Tamandua tetradactyla: one gene and its partner. The protein of the gene in region 1 interacts with the protein of each later gene in a pairwise test. Links are inferred from orthologs where the notes say so. Each region holds a gene or a part of one and is shown on either strand. Other genes may lie near its edges.

Region 1 (7,190 bases):
GGGTTCAGGGCCCATTACACTAGCCTCTCTACTTTCATGTAAGTCAGTGCTTCCCAAAATAAGTAGCAAAAAGAAACATTTAGGAATAAAAGCTCATTCTGGGCCCCAGCGCCTCCCTCCACCATGTCTGTCCACCGGGTCTGGCAAAGGCTCCTGCACTTCGGGGCCTAAGGAGGAGATCAGAGAGCAGGGCCCACAGCCTCGCCAGCTGGATCCATGCGGAAATGTCGCGCGTCATTCAGCACAGCCCTGCGCCCGGTCACCCTGTCCCCAGGAAGCCCCGCCTGGCCTGCCTCAAGCACAATCAGACAGCTTGTCCCCCACCTGCCAGCCCAGGGGCATCTTCTGATCCCCAACCTGAAAGCAGTTTGCTGCTTCCTGGTAGGAAGGCCAATTCCCTGAGGCCAGCCTGCCAGAATCTGGAGAAAATGTTTGTCCTGCGACACAACACGGTGCTTCCATGGTGACGGCGGGAGCTGGGAGAGGGGAGCAGCGGAGGGAAGGAGCGCCCCGGGCGGGGGCGGGGCGGTGTCTCAGCCACACTGAGGCCCCTTCAAGCACTCTGGGCTCTGCCCCTGAAAACCGTAAGCCTGTACAACACAAAGGCTGCAAACCAGCAAAAATGCAGAGAAGTCAGCTTCCTGGCTTGCTTAGGGAGAGGTTGCTCTGGCAATGGCGTTTCTAGGGAGCTGGGGTTCGCGCCTTACATAACCAAGGCTTCCTGACCTGACCCGCTCTAGGAAGGGCTGTTTCTTCAGGAGCATCTCTGAACGCAGTGGACCCGAACCAGATCTCCCTGTGTGGCCACCCCCAGGAGGAGCTCAGATGGCCCCGCCGTGGCCTTGACCCTGCCCCCGGCCCTGCTTCTAATTTGCTCTAGACTTGGAAACAATATAGCAGACCCGACAGCAAATGTACAGAAGAGCACACATTGTGGCAGTGAGGGCCCAAGTCCCTGGAGGAAAGCGCAGGCGCTCAGGGGGTGGCCCCAGCACCCTGAAAGGGCCCACTAGAGGCCACATCCACACCTTCTGGTTTTCTGTTGGGTCCGAAGGCGGGCAAGCTTCCGCCAGGGCAAGGGCAGAGTGTCGGAACAGCTGCAGCACTGTGTTTCCAGTTAGTTCTGCCAAATATAGTATTTTTGAAAGGGTTACGCTTGCTCGGAAGCGGGGTGCTCTTTGGGGCTGCTGCCGCCACCCCAGGACCCACGGGGCCTGCGAGGAAACCGAGGGCGGGCGGGGGAGCCGATGCAGCAGGCTGGCAGCAGGCCATGCGTCCCCCCTCCACTCTTGCGCCCTGGAACAGCTGGGAGGTGGGGGTGACAGTTACCAGGTGGCCTGCAGGACAGCCCAGCAGACCCCCGCCCCACCCCAGGGCACATCATAGAGCTTTCACTCTACAAACAACAAGTGGATTTATTTTCCTTGTTTCACTCATTCACCTTCCACAAAGTGATTAGCCCTGGATTTAAAAACTCAGTTTCCAATTAAAGCCTTCGTCTGGAGAGCAGGCAGAGTCCAGTCCTCGAGCCCCGCGCTGGACCAGGAACCGGGGAGCAGCGAGTAGCCCTGCCGCGCGGGATGCAGCGGTGAGCGGTGCTCACAGCAAGGGCTCTGCCACCCTGCCAGGCTTTCAACATCGGGGGGCCCGGAGGCCCCTCCTCCCAAATGCCAGTCCACTTGGGAGTCCGCACCCAATTTCCGGGGTTCACGGGAGCTCTGAAGCCCATGCTGACCCACATGGAGACCCTCAGGAGAGAAAGACCCTGAAGACACGGCCCTGGGCCTGATGTCAGCACATATCGGGTCTTTCTCGTTTTCCCCTTCCGTCAAGCCCTGGATGGTTTTCAGCCCCCTCCTGGCTCCGTCGTTCGGGGAGTATGAATCAGCTTTCCCCAGCCTGGCTGTGTGGGTTACAGAAACCCTGGCAACCAAGTCACCATCCGTCACCCTGTCACCCTGGAGCGGAGGGAGGCTGTGGCCCCCGCTCTGTATCCCTCCCAGAGGGGTGCTGCTCCACCATCAAGTAGAGACCCCTCCTGGGGACAGGCCCTGCTGCCAGCTCACTGTGGGGAGAGGGAACGAATACAGGGGGAAAGCCGGGGGGGGGGGCAGCGGGGGTGAACATCAGCGGAGGCCCTGCCCTGAGAGTCCCCAGGCCTGGCTTGGCACTTGGCACAGGGCCTTTCTTCACTCCGCTCACCAATTCTAGGGCCCCAGGGGCTGTCCAGGTCAAGCCCGTAGGCCAGTGCCTGGGGCACAGCCAAAGCCCCCATCAGTGGCCTTGGCTCTTCTCCCGGGGGGCCCTTCCCAGTCCAAGACTTGGTTCTCTGGCCCCAGAGCAGGAAACCGCCCCCCACGGGCCCTCCATGCTCCAGGGACAGGGGAACCTGCCCTCAGAGGCCTTGGCCTGCCCACGCATGTCTCCACAGGGACAGGGGAGAGGTCTTCCTTAAAAAAATCATCTAAAGAAGGACAGTCCAGTATGGTGCTGACTCAGTAGCTGTGTGCCCTCGGCCAGGCTGCCTCAACTCTCTGGACTTCAGTTTCCTGATCTGCAAACGAGGGGTCTCCCCCCATGCCTGCTGATAACACATTCCGCTTCTGTGCGCCCCGACCCCCACGCCCCATTTCAAACCGAGAGGGGTCAGAGAACTCTAGGTTCCCGTCTCCGCGGTCAGGAGGAGCCCGATGCCCCCGGCCGCCCGGACCCAGAGCGGACCCCAGACCCGCCGGAGCCCGGAGTCCAGATCTTCGTCCGGCGCGGACCCGCCCCGCCCACAGCACGGACCCCAGACTTGCCCGGCCCGCCCGGCTCCGGCCGCGGTTACGTAAGCTCCGGGCTGGCTGCAAGACAGCGTCGGCCCAGCCGGCTCCAGCGCCCGCCGAGCCCGCGCGCGGCCGCGGCCCCACTCACCGCCCAGGTGCGTCGTCCGCCGCCCGCCGCCCCCCCGAGCGCCTGCCCGCACCGGCCCGCGCCTTCCCGCGCCTCCGCAGCCAACTCGCGGGCCCGCGGCTGTCACATAGTGGAAAACGTGACGGCGCGTGCCGGGCCCGCCCCCGACGCCCACCATTGGCCGTCACGCGGCCTCATTTGCATATTGGGGGGCCGGGCCGGCAAGCCGCGCTAGCGCATTGGCTACGGCGCGTGTCGCTCTCTTTACATAAGCTGCACATGGAACTCCATGTTCACCGCGTCGGTTTGTCAATGAAAACGCGGCCCCCCTCCGCCTCCTCTCGAGTGGTCCCCTCCACTTCCGGCCTCGGCGTTTTCCATTCAGGACTCGGCGCGTCGGCCGGCTCGGGGAGCGCGGAGTGGCGCGTACCACTGCGGGGCGGGGGTGGGGGCTGATGGCCGCGGGGCTGCGCCGCGGCGGGTGTCTGCGCGCCTCTCCCCGGGAAGCGGATACTGCGCGGGAGCCCAGCCCAGGGGCGCGACCGCATTCGGGGACCGAGAGCCTTCAGCCGCTCCTTCCCACTCATTCATATTCTCACTCGTTCAGGACCCGCGCGCAGACCGCCCAGGGAAGGCGCCAGGGCCCCCGCACGCCCCGCTGGACGCCCTGGGGCTGACCCCAGGCCCCAGGCCCCAGGCCACTCTGCTTCCAAGGACTCTCCTTGTGTTTGAAAACATGTCGCAATTTTTGGCTCAGGAAATAGGGCCGCTGTTACCTATTGGAGAGAGAAATAGAGGGGGATGCCCTTGCCTGCCCCAAACAGTACCATCAGGGGGACAGGGACTGCTCTGGAAAAGGGCACTTCTATACACATACTCGATTAACTGGGCGCAGGGGCTGTATCTTAAGGCGAGCCAGCCTCATCCCCAGAGACGTGATGGAGGCGGCAGCTCTGAGGGTGAGTGGGATGAGGCACAGCCTATAGGCTCCAAGGCACCTGGGAAATCAGTGGCAGCGGGGGTCTGATGGGGGAGGCCAGGCTTCTGGGGATTGCCAAGGAGCCTCCCCGCAACTTCCCTCCGCCCTTCCTGTTCCTGCCCCTCCTGGGGACCAGGGAAGGAAACTGACCCGGTAACCTGCAGGCAACTGAGCTACAAGTCTCAAAGCTCACTAACCCACATTCAGAAACCGAGTGAGCCACTTCTCTTCCTCTCCTTGACAAGGTGTGTGTGCAACTTCTCTGGACACAGATGCACAACAGGGTAGAGATGTAGGTCATAGGTCCATCCTGCCAAGGTAAACCCCCAGACGCCTGCTTTGTGGCTCCCTGCAGTAGAGTGGCCCCTCCCCCGTTTCTCTGACACTGACACCTCAACACTCTCCACGCCCGCTCTCCCTAACACACACACGCACAGGCAAATGCCAAGCAAATCCAGGCCCAGCTGCACCCTGCACACACCCAAAGGCCCTTTTGTCTCTGCACAGGCACTGACGTCAATGGTGGTGACCGTTGTTCTGGGAAGAAGAGACAGCTGGAACGTTCCCGGATTCGCCTGCATGCTCAGCTTTTCCTTGGTCCTGCTCTTCTTTGGCCTGCGGCCTAATAATTTCCTAAATACCTCTTTCCTAAATTTAGCCTTTTCTTTTTCCACCAATAAATCTGGTAGAAAGCTAGTGAAACCATTTATTTTGGAAACTATCAAACATATGGGGTTCCAGGGCTCTTTAGAATTAATCTATTTGCAGGGACACACAGCTAGTTTCTTCTTTCTGGTTTTTGGAAACTTTCCTTTGCTCCACAAATATTTGTTGATGAGCGAGTGTTGGGGGGGGGCAGGGCACGCAAATCAGCATCTCCTGGGATCCCCGCCTGTAAGGAGTTTGTGATGTGGGAGGGGTGATAAGGCAGGTTTGGAGGCCATTTTGCTCTGTGCTGGGGTGCAATATGGGCCTGCCCAGTAGCCTCCTGCCCAGCTCCAAAGGAGAATGCTGCGGGGCTCCAACATCTACAAGCAGGGCCACAGCCAGGACAGCCACTCGCCGAGGCTCCATAGTGAGCAACTGTGTGTGTGTGTGTGTGTGTGTGCGCGCGCGCGCAAGCTGGGGGAGTCAGATTGGAGGCAGAAGTGGAATGAATCCTTTCCCAACGAGCCTACGCTGGCCTGGAAGTGCTTTAGGACCAGCTGTCTCTCCAGCACAGGGCTCTTGGGCAGGGAAATTGCTTTGGCTCTGGGGGAGCCAGGCTGGCAAGAAGGAAGCCAGCTCTTCAGCAGCTGGGTGGGGGAACTGGGGTCCCCAGTTGCTGGGCAGTGCTGGCCATGGGAGGAGCTGACCTCTGGCCTCAGCCTTCGCAGGCCTCCTGACCAAAGGCAGCCCTGCCTCTGCCTAGCCCATTCCTACCAGCCCATTCCACCAATGGGGTGGCCCCCGTAGGCCTCACCCACCCATGCCTGGGTGCTGCCTGGGGGCCCCTCTGTGCCCAGGCCCCCATGCCTTGCCTGACCATTCACTGGCTCTCACATTCACTCATGCCCTCAGTCAGCCAGCCCTTTACTGGGCAGCCACTGTGTGCCACGTACTGTGCTGACACGCAGTTTGTGGGGTCTGCTAGGTGGGCCCGAGTCGTGAAGGCAAAGAACAGCAGGCTAAGGGGGAGAATGTGGGGTGGTGACTCGGAAAATTCTCTCTACAGAGATGGACAGGTGCTATCATTTTTTCTGGCCCCCTACCTGAGTTTAGGGACACGCCCGTGGGAGATGAGGACATCTGACCCATAGTCCCCTTCTGTCCTCGTGCCTGCTGCTGGTCCACAGCTGCTCACACCCACCTACCCTGGGCGTGACAGCGTGGCAGCTCCTGGCAGGGAGAACCTCAGCCTGTTCCAGAGGTGCACCTGAGAGCTTGGGCAGCTATGACCGGGAGAGAGGGACCCATCTGTTCCCGGTGATGGGAAAGGACCTGAGCCAGGCAGGTGACCCAGGGCAGGTGTTTCTCCTGGATGTGCATGGTCTGGTAGACCCCTGCAAAGACGTTAGTTGCACGGTGACATCCGCCTACTGAGCAGGCTAAGTTTTAAAAACTAAACATAGATCTGTGCTTTGGCAGACCTGTACACGTGTGCATGTGTTTGTGCTACCCACTTCTCGGCCTTGCCCCGAGAACTCAGGATTGAACCATCAGCAATGGATGTGCAGCCCTAGCCTCGCTTCACCCGCCCTGGAGAAGACCCTCTGGACAGGGACCGATGTGTCTTGGCACAAAACTCTCCAGAGAGCCAGGTATCCATCTTCCTGGTGGCCTTTGGCAAAAGACATCTTCACATCAAATCACTTGTGCCCTGGCTAGAACCAGCAGGTCAGCGCTGAATAGGAGTGTCAAGACTGAGCTTCCTGCTTCTGGTCTTGTCCCAGTGTTCCGTGACGTCAGCCTCAGGTGTTTGGGTTTGGGTTTTTTTTTGGTTAAATGGTCCGGGAATCGAACCCGGGTCTCCTGCATGAAAGCTGGGCATTCTAACGTGTTTTTTTTTGTAGACATCCTTTATCACATAAAGAAAGTTCCCTTCTATTGTAGTTCGCTGTGAGAGCTTTTTTAAAAAATCGTAAATGGGTCCAGTGAGCTTTTATTCCATGGTAATTATTATTTTTAAATACTGTACCCCAGAATCTTTTTATTTTTTTGCAGGTATGCAAATAAACTCCCCTACCTTTGTCTCTGTTATACAATTCTCTGTACCAATTTGCTTGCTTCATCATTGTATTTTTTTTCTTTCTTTTTTTGGCACGAGCAGGCTCCAGAATTGAACCCAGGTCTCTAGCACAGCAGATGAGAACTCTGCCACTGAGCCACTGTTGCCTGCCCCATTACCGTATTTTAAAACAAAAAATATAAATGAATTTAGAAAGTGGTGCCCCGAGATCCTGCCTTTGTGTCCTAAGTCTCCTCTTCATTACTCTCCATCTGATGAGAAAATACGTTCTGGACTGACTTCTCTTACTATCTGTTTGCAACTGGAAGGCCTGGCTTTGACTGCATCCAAGAAGCTCTTTGTAATCGTGTCGCTTGAGAAAGGATTCAAACCTCAAACTTCCTGGTCATGAAGCCATAAAAGAAAACAAAGAATTTAACTGAAAGGAGAGCCATGCACTCTGGGGAGCCGGGGGTGCTCAGGAGTTCCCTTCGCTTCCCGGCCACCCTTCTAGGACCTTGAGGCTGTCTCCCCTGTCCTGCTGAGCACCCCCAGAGCCCTCAGCACCTCTCACTGTCTTGGAGGGGGCCAAGAACCCTGCATCCATCG
Region 2 (7,801 bases), on another chromosome or scaffold:
TTCCCTGAATAGTTGAGGTCACATATGAAAAGAAAAAATGAGATTACAAAGGTCAAAAGGCAGATTTTGAATGTCAAGGTAAGGAATTTGGGCTTTATCCTATAGTCAATAGGGAAATTAATAAAGTTGTTAAAATATAAAATTACAGACATCAGGATGTCACTTCATTCAACAAAAAGTAATTGAGTTACTAAAACGCACTCAATCTGGTGCTATGAGAACAGATTGAATATAACTCAGTCCCTGCCTCTTTAGGATGTGAAGTTTAATGACACTATTTCTGCTAATGAAAAATTGTTTTACATATAGTTGCTGTATCATTTCCTTCAGCATACAAACATACTGTAATTTCTTCCATCTTAAAAAGAATCTTCAACTTCACATCCCCCTCCAGGAACCACACCATTTCTCTGATCCCCTTATAGTAAAAGTTCTCCAGAGAGCTGTCCATGTGAGTTGTCCCCAACCCTCTCCCTACCTCTCTTTGTTCCAAAATGGCTCTTGTTTCTGACACTACTGAAACCACTTGAACTCTCAACAAGATTACAAATGACCTCAAAATGCTAAATTCAGTTTTTAATTGCAGCCCTCATCTTCCTTGACCTATCAGCAGCATATGAAATAGGTAAAGCACTCCATCTCAAACTTAACCAGGCCCAAGAGGACTCAATCATCCTCTTAATGACTTCTCTGACTTCATTTTCTTAGCAAAGTGCAACTCTATCCCACTAGCTTATCAAGTTAAAAATCTTGAAATTATTCCTAACTACTCTTTTTCTCACACCAACATATCCAATTTGTCAACAAACACTGGGGGTTCTGCCTTCAAAATACACCCAGCATTTGAATTCTTCTCACCACTTCCTCCATTATCACCACAGTCCAGACCCTTATCATCTCTCTCCCAGAAGAACGCAATAGCTTTCTAAATGGTCTTCCCGCTTCTTGTCCACCTCCAGCCCCCAGTCTTGTCTGTTCTCAGAATCACAGCAAGAGAAATTCTTTTCAAACTTAACTCAGATCCCGTCTTCCTACTTAACTCAGTAAAAGTACAAATCTTGACAAATGTCTATAAAGATCTATTCAATCTGGTCCTATTACATCTCTGACCTCTTCTACTACTACTACTTTTCTGCTCACTTATACTGTCACCTAATTTTTTCCCCTCCAGTCAATACTGACTCCTCCCATTTTCCCTCCAAAGGCAAGCATGTTTCCTCCTCAGGCTCTCTTTCTTACGGTTCCGTCGGCCTGGAATGCTCTTTCCTTACATATCCACATTCCATTACCTCCTTCATGTCTTTGTTCAAATATCACCTTTTCAATGAGTTTCCCCCAATCAACCTATTTAAAATTACAAAGCCCATCCCTATATTCCTTATCTCTTTTTTCTGCTCTTTTTGCCCCCATAGCATTTACCACTACCTAAAATATTACGTATTTCACATTTTGGGATATACGCTCAAAGAAGACAAGAATTTCTGTTTCCTTCATTGCTGTATCTCTGGCATTTAAAGCAGTACCTGGCACACAGGAGGTGACCACTATTCTATTCGTTAGATGAATAATTTTATTTCCACCAGGAGGTCCAACAATCACCTAGCCTGATACTTCAGGAACAGATAATAAAGCTTCTCTTAGATTTCTTTCAGATCTCTGGTCCCTAGAAGGATTATACTTTGCCTAGAAAGAAAAAGTGTGCTTTGTCTGGTCAACCACAAGGAGGAGTTGAGAAGAACACTGAGTATAGAGAAACCAGATAATGATGCTTCTCTTGCTTTTCCTACAGCAACCTGAAGGTGGAAGAAAACTGTATTTGGAGACGACTGTACTGAATGAATGATTTTTTTTTCATACTATGAATTACTTACACAAACGTAAACATTAAAAACAATGATCCTTTTGAAGGCCACAAAGAGGCCCAGGAAATCAATCCCGAGGCCACTAAGGACTGAAAAGCTGTTTAACTCCACCGCTGCTAAGTCTCCCTAAACTCAGGGGGAAGAGGTCCCATGAGCGTAGTGACACAAAGATGAAGGCCAAGCTGACTCTCTGGCCAGAAAAAATACTGTCAATTATATTTGATACGAACATAAAGCACCTACAATTCTTAAATAGTACAAGCAAGGCGCTCCCAGGTCAAGACTCTCGGATTCGGCTGATCGCTTATCAAGTCCGGATTCATCAAACACCGGAATTAATTTTCCCCAGGATTCACTCACCGCCACCTGTTGATCCCCACGTTGGAGGAGCCGGCGAACCAGGGGTCCAGTATGTAGACGCAGCGGATGGTGTCGGCGCCCTGAATGCATTCTTTCAGCGCGGGGTTGTCGTGAAGCCGGAGCCCCTTTCGGAACCAGTGCACCGCGTTCACTCCCATCCCGGCGACGAGCCCCTCCAGAGAGCGATTTAAGCAAGGAAGATCCAGCTCATAACCTACACCTTCGCTTCCAGGAGAATCGCCGCCCCCAAGGAGCGAGGAAAGGGCGGTGGAGGGGACAGAGGAAAAAATTACTCCGAGGAGGAGACCGGCGGAAACTGCGCCGGAGGCGCAGCTGGAAGACGAATGGAGGTTGCCCAGTCAGCGGTGTCCGGGAGTGACACCTTTTAGGGCCCGACGCCGGCCGCAATCGCCTAGACGACACGCATACGTTCGAGGGCCTCGGATCCCCGGAGTGTGAGCAAGTTCCAGGAGCTCGAACCGCCACGATGGCCGGAGCCGGCACCGGCAGTCCCAGGTGGTTGGTCACGGAAACCTCGCCCCACCGAGCCGGCCCGTGAGGAGAAAATGGCCCGCCGGAGGCGAGTCACCGCGAGGAAGGAGAGAGGGTTCAGCCATTGTCAGCAACGCTGCCTCTCGGCGGGGGAAAAACCAGCAAAGACGAAGGCCGGGGTCTAGACTGCTGGACGGTAGCCGGTGGGCTACCGATCCCGAGGCTGCCCGGGTGACTCCGCCGCCGCCGCCGCCGCCGCGTCAGCGGCCTCGGCCCCGCCCCTGACTCATCATTGGTGGGCGCTCTCCCCATGTGACCACCGGCACCTCACGTTTCTGAAGTGTGTTTACTACACCGGCTCTGGTTGAAGAATCTGTTCGCGGTTCGGGTGCTTTTAAGGGTGTAAGGTCCCTCAGCCCCAAAGCTGTCGACTCTCGTCCAGAAGTTGGGCTCCCTGACTCAGGCCCTGTACTCCGCTTTTTGGTCGCCGTTCCCTGGAGGCGCCAGCAGCAATCATAGGCCCCATGTGAGGGAAGACTAAACCTCGCCCCAGAGGGCCGTGAGCCACTACCATTGGCTGAGACTCAGTGGGACCCGGATGAGCACGGGGATGCGGGAAGCTCGCGGGTGCGCGCTTCGTTCTGAAAGGCGCGCGTGCGCTCTCACGGCGTCCTGTAGAGTAGAAGGGCGGGGCAGGGCCGGTACGCGCTCTAGGGTTCGTGGCGTGGTGCTGGGGATCGCCGGAATGCAGTTTCGAGTGTTTTGAGTAGGTGGTGGAACCAAACGAGGAACGAGGGAAGGATGGGGTGGAAGGAGAAGAGTAGTAGCCTCTACTTAGATTTAGAGCCCAAACCATGTGCTTCAGTCCAGCTTCGGTCAGAGAGCCCTCCTTTGTGAGTGTCGATTGGCGCAGCGACCAATTTCCTGTCCCTCACGGTGCGGCATCCTTGGACTTTTCTCGGGAGAAGGGTTAATAACAGGGCGGGTACCAGTATTCCTGTTCTTAACTAGCCTTATTACTATCCATCACCACATCACCCCTGATCTCTTAAAGTTGGTATGGCTTACTTTTCATTCTTGTCTACCTTTCCAGCGATAATGAACCGCAGGCTGTAGTATTTCCTTAGCCCTATGATACGCCTGTATTCATTCAACAATTACTTACTGAGACATTATTTACTAGACACTGCTCGAGGTGCTGGGGATACAGGAGAAAATATAACAACACAAAAATCCCAGTACTCCTGTAGTTTACCATGTCTCTTAACTTTTGAACTTGCAATTTTTTTCTCTATAAAATGCCCTTCTTTGGAATTGGCTCCTTACTAGAACGAACTTTGAGCTGCCTGGAATATTTCTGCACATCTTTCTATGTAATTAGTGAAACTATGCTTGTCTCTCAGGGCAGATTGAGGCCTCTTCCCAGCTGTCATACATGCGTCTGATGCATACGTTACACTATCCTGATGAAGATTAAATGAAAAGTGCCTACTGTAATTTTTAGCACGAAGTAGGTATTCAGTAATTGTACTTATTATCATAAAAGTGTCTCTCTGATTCCCACCAAAATGTGACTTCTCAAGATGAAGATCCCTGACTAGTTTTATTTTTTTTTTTTGTTTCCTCAATACCAAGAACAGAGTTTGACACATGCACTCAACTGTTTATTGAATAAGTGAATGAATTTTGTTTGTCACTACTGTGGTGGGCAAGATAAAAAGGAGGAAGGAAACTGCAATAAAGTAAATTCAGACATTTATGAAGCCAACTCTTACTTCTGTTGCCTTAGGGAAAGTAATTCTTTCTTTGGTTTCTATAAGACCATTTAAAATTGTGTATGTATGGAAACCTTTTGTTTGCTATAAAGTATTAAGCAAATACTAGTATTTGTATCGATGGGGAGGAGCCCTGGGTAATTCCTTACCACTCTAAAGCTCCAATGGCTTACCACTCAGAAGTTCTCACCACAGAGCCCTTACGTGGATTCCCTGGTGTTCCAGGGCTTATCATACTTTAAAAAATACAATGTTTTACATTTCATGTTAGGCTGTTTGTGAGTAAGCAAACTGTCTAAAGAGAAAAGAATTGTTTTTGAGCATCCCAATGAAAAAGTGGGAAGTGAAAGGAATATTGATCCACATAGAGTTGATTTGGGTTTGTGAATTGTTCATTCAATAAAAGATATTTTTAACAGACAGCTGTGTGTGGGTGTAGGTGTAACTTTCATTTAAACATTACAGTGCTACTTTAATATAAAAGCATCAGTACTGTAAAGTGTGCATTGCTCAAAGACCGAAGGTTTTTTTTGGCACATGGGTGATTATTTTAATATATCTTTGTTTTGGTGGAGAGTTACCATTTAATCATAGCTATAACTTGTTGAGCACCTACTGTGTGCTGGGTGCTTTATATCAGCTATTATTAATCCTCATAATAATTTTATGAGACACTTTATTATTAATAATAACATGCCCACTTTGCTGATGGAGAAACTAAAGCTCAAAAATATAAATAGTAGTACAATCAGGATGAAAAATCAAGACTATGTTTTGGTTTGCTAATGCTGCTAAAATGCAATATAACAAAAATGGATTGACTTTTGCAAAGGGTATTTATTAAGTTACAAGTTACAATTCTAAGGTTGTGAAAATGTCCAAATTAAGGCACCAACAAGAGGAATCCTTCACTTAAGAAAGGCCAATTTCCAGGGTTTCTCTGTCACGTGGGAAAGCACATGGAGACATCTGCTGCCCTTCTGTCCCAGCTTCTGGTTTCAAATGGCTCTCTCAGCATCTCTGAACAACTGTGTCTAAGCTTTCATCTCTATGCTCTGTGTGTCAGTTCTGAGCTCTTTTTCTCCACGAGCTCTTTTAAGGACTCCAGTAAACTAATTAAGACCCACCTTGAATGGGTGAGATTACATCTCCAACTAATCAAAAGGTCCTACCCACAACTGGGTGGGTCATATCTCCATGGAAACAGCCTAATCAAAAGGTCCCACCCAAACAATAGGTCTGCCCCACAAGATTGGATTAGTATTAAAAGAACATGGTTTTTCTGGGGTACATGACAGTTTCAAACCAGCATTTGTATAAACCCCAAACTGTTTCCTTATCATATACTAAATCTCACTGACTCCCTCTTCCCTTCTCTTTGAGAATTAGCATTTATGTATGAGGAGTGAAAGAAGTGAGAAATGGAGTGAGTGAGCGTTCTCATAAGTCACTTTTGAAATTCTGGTTGACTCTGGGTCTAAGAAGAAGAGACTGGCTTCTATCCCAGCTCTGCTAGTTAGTTGATGGTCTTGAACAGGTTACCTAGGCCTCCATTCATAAATTGAGGGGCTCGAACTAGATGATTTCTATGTTTCCTCCGTTGGGGATTGAATCATGACACCTACAGAAGGCATGCTCAGGTCCCAACCCCTGTTCTTTGGGTGTGGACTAATTTGTAAATGTCGGCTTTTAAAGATGTTATTCGTTAAGGTATGCCAAGCTGAATGAGTGTGGACCTTCATCCAATATGTCTGAAGTCCTTATAAGCAAAGGAAGTTGGACACACAGGGAGAAGCCACAGGAAGGCAAGAAGCTAGAAGTCAGTGGAACCCAGAAGAAAGAGAAGATGCTACCATGCGTCTTGTGAGGGAAAGCCAAGGACCCCCCGAGATGCCAGCCAGCTTGAATATACTGGCCCTGAAACTGTGAGCCAATAAATTCTTGTTGTTCTGCCAACCAATTGTATGGTGTTTATTTTAGCAGCTTGGAAACTAAAACACCTATATAATTTTAAAATTCTGGAGTTCTATGAATACAATCCTGCCATGGGCTCAAAAATGTCTAACAGTCCTGTGAAACATTCTTTTAATTGCCAACAATGTTAGAAAAATCACTATCTCTATGATTTCATGAGCACTCTTGATAGAAGTATGTCAGCCTCTAAACTGAAAGCCTGTGTTCTCTCTTGACCCCATCTTGCAGAGGTGTCCTTCACGGACATTCCAGAAAGGGGTAGTAGTGCTGCAGCTGTCCACTTTCGGTTGGTACCTGGATATCATGCAGAATCATCTGTAAACCAGGCCCAAGTTTTGGGATATGTTAACTGAAGAAGTAGACAGTTCAGAACCAATCCATTCAGTTGTGATTTGATGTGAATTTTAGGCTCTCAGCCTTTGGCCGAGTACCCACATGCTGGTGTCTTTGGGATGTGGATTTAATTCTGTTAAAGAATACTTACTTTCTAAGAAGGTACAATTATAACTCTCATATGAATATAAAATAAGCATATGTAAAGAATTTCATTTAACTCATTAATTAATGAGAAAAGCAGTTAAGATGTTACAATGGGTTAAAAGGAGAATCTAAAAAACAGTTACATATATAATCCATTTGTATTACCTAGTGTTCTCTAGAGAAATAGAATCAGCAGGAGATATCCGTAGATATAAAATTTGTAAAAGTGTCTCACATAACCGTGGGAATGTAGAGTCCAAGATCTGTAAGGCAGATCACAAGTTGGTAACCGCTAAAGGTCCTCAACTAGCTCTCAGGTGAGGCTGGCTAGGCAACCGTGGGAATGTAAGTGTCCGAGGTCTGTGAGGCAGGCTGAAAATTGCTGAGTCCAGTGAAGGGTCTCGACAACTCCTCAGGAAAAGCTCACCGGCTGAGACAGGAAGAGTGACTCTCTCTTCTGAATCCTCAGTAAAAGCCTTCCAGTGATTAGATTAAGCACCACACATTGCAGAAGACCCTCCCCTTAGCTGATTACAAAAGCAATCAGCTGTGGATACAGCTAACATTATCATGATTTAAGTCCATGAAATGTCCTCATAGCAACAGACAGGTCAGCACTTGCCCAACCAAATGACTGGGCACCACCATCTGGCAAAATTGTCACATGAACCTGACCATGACTGTCCACCCCTTGTAAACTTGGCAGCTATACACATCACCTTAAACCATACTTAATCTTTAACTAGAAAGTAATAACACACATTTTTTCCTTGCCTAGCAATACTCAACTGTCCTACGTACAACCAGAAATGCATTAAATCTCCCCAAGTAGGGTGTAAGTCCTTGGGTAATATTCAC

The links. The genes of interacting proteins can lie anywhere in the genome.
Region 2: the proteins of PER2 (region 1) and CRY1 interact in a two-hybrid assay, tested with the Homo sapiens proteins (5 studies listed by BioGRID, with this or other methods). The link is inferred for Tamandua tetradactyla from reciprocal best matches to the Homo sapiens genes PER2 and CRY1.

What each region holds. Positions count from the first base shown.
Region 1 is NC_135329.1:214,847,371-214,854,560, reverse strand, and holds the start of PER2 (period circadian protein homolog 2), read right to left. Parts: upstream 3,017-7,190; 5' UTR 2,917-3,016; intron 1-2,916. UniProt on the Homo sapiens protein: Transcriptional repressor which forms a core component of the circadian clock.
Region 2 is NC_135333.1:23,633,917-23,641,717, forward strand, and holds the start of CRY1 (cryptochrome-1), read right to left. Parts: upstream 3,004-7,801; 5' UTR 2,381-3,003; coding exon 2,223-2,380; intron 1-2,222.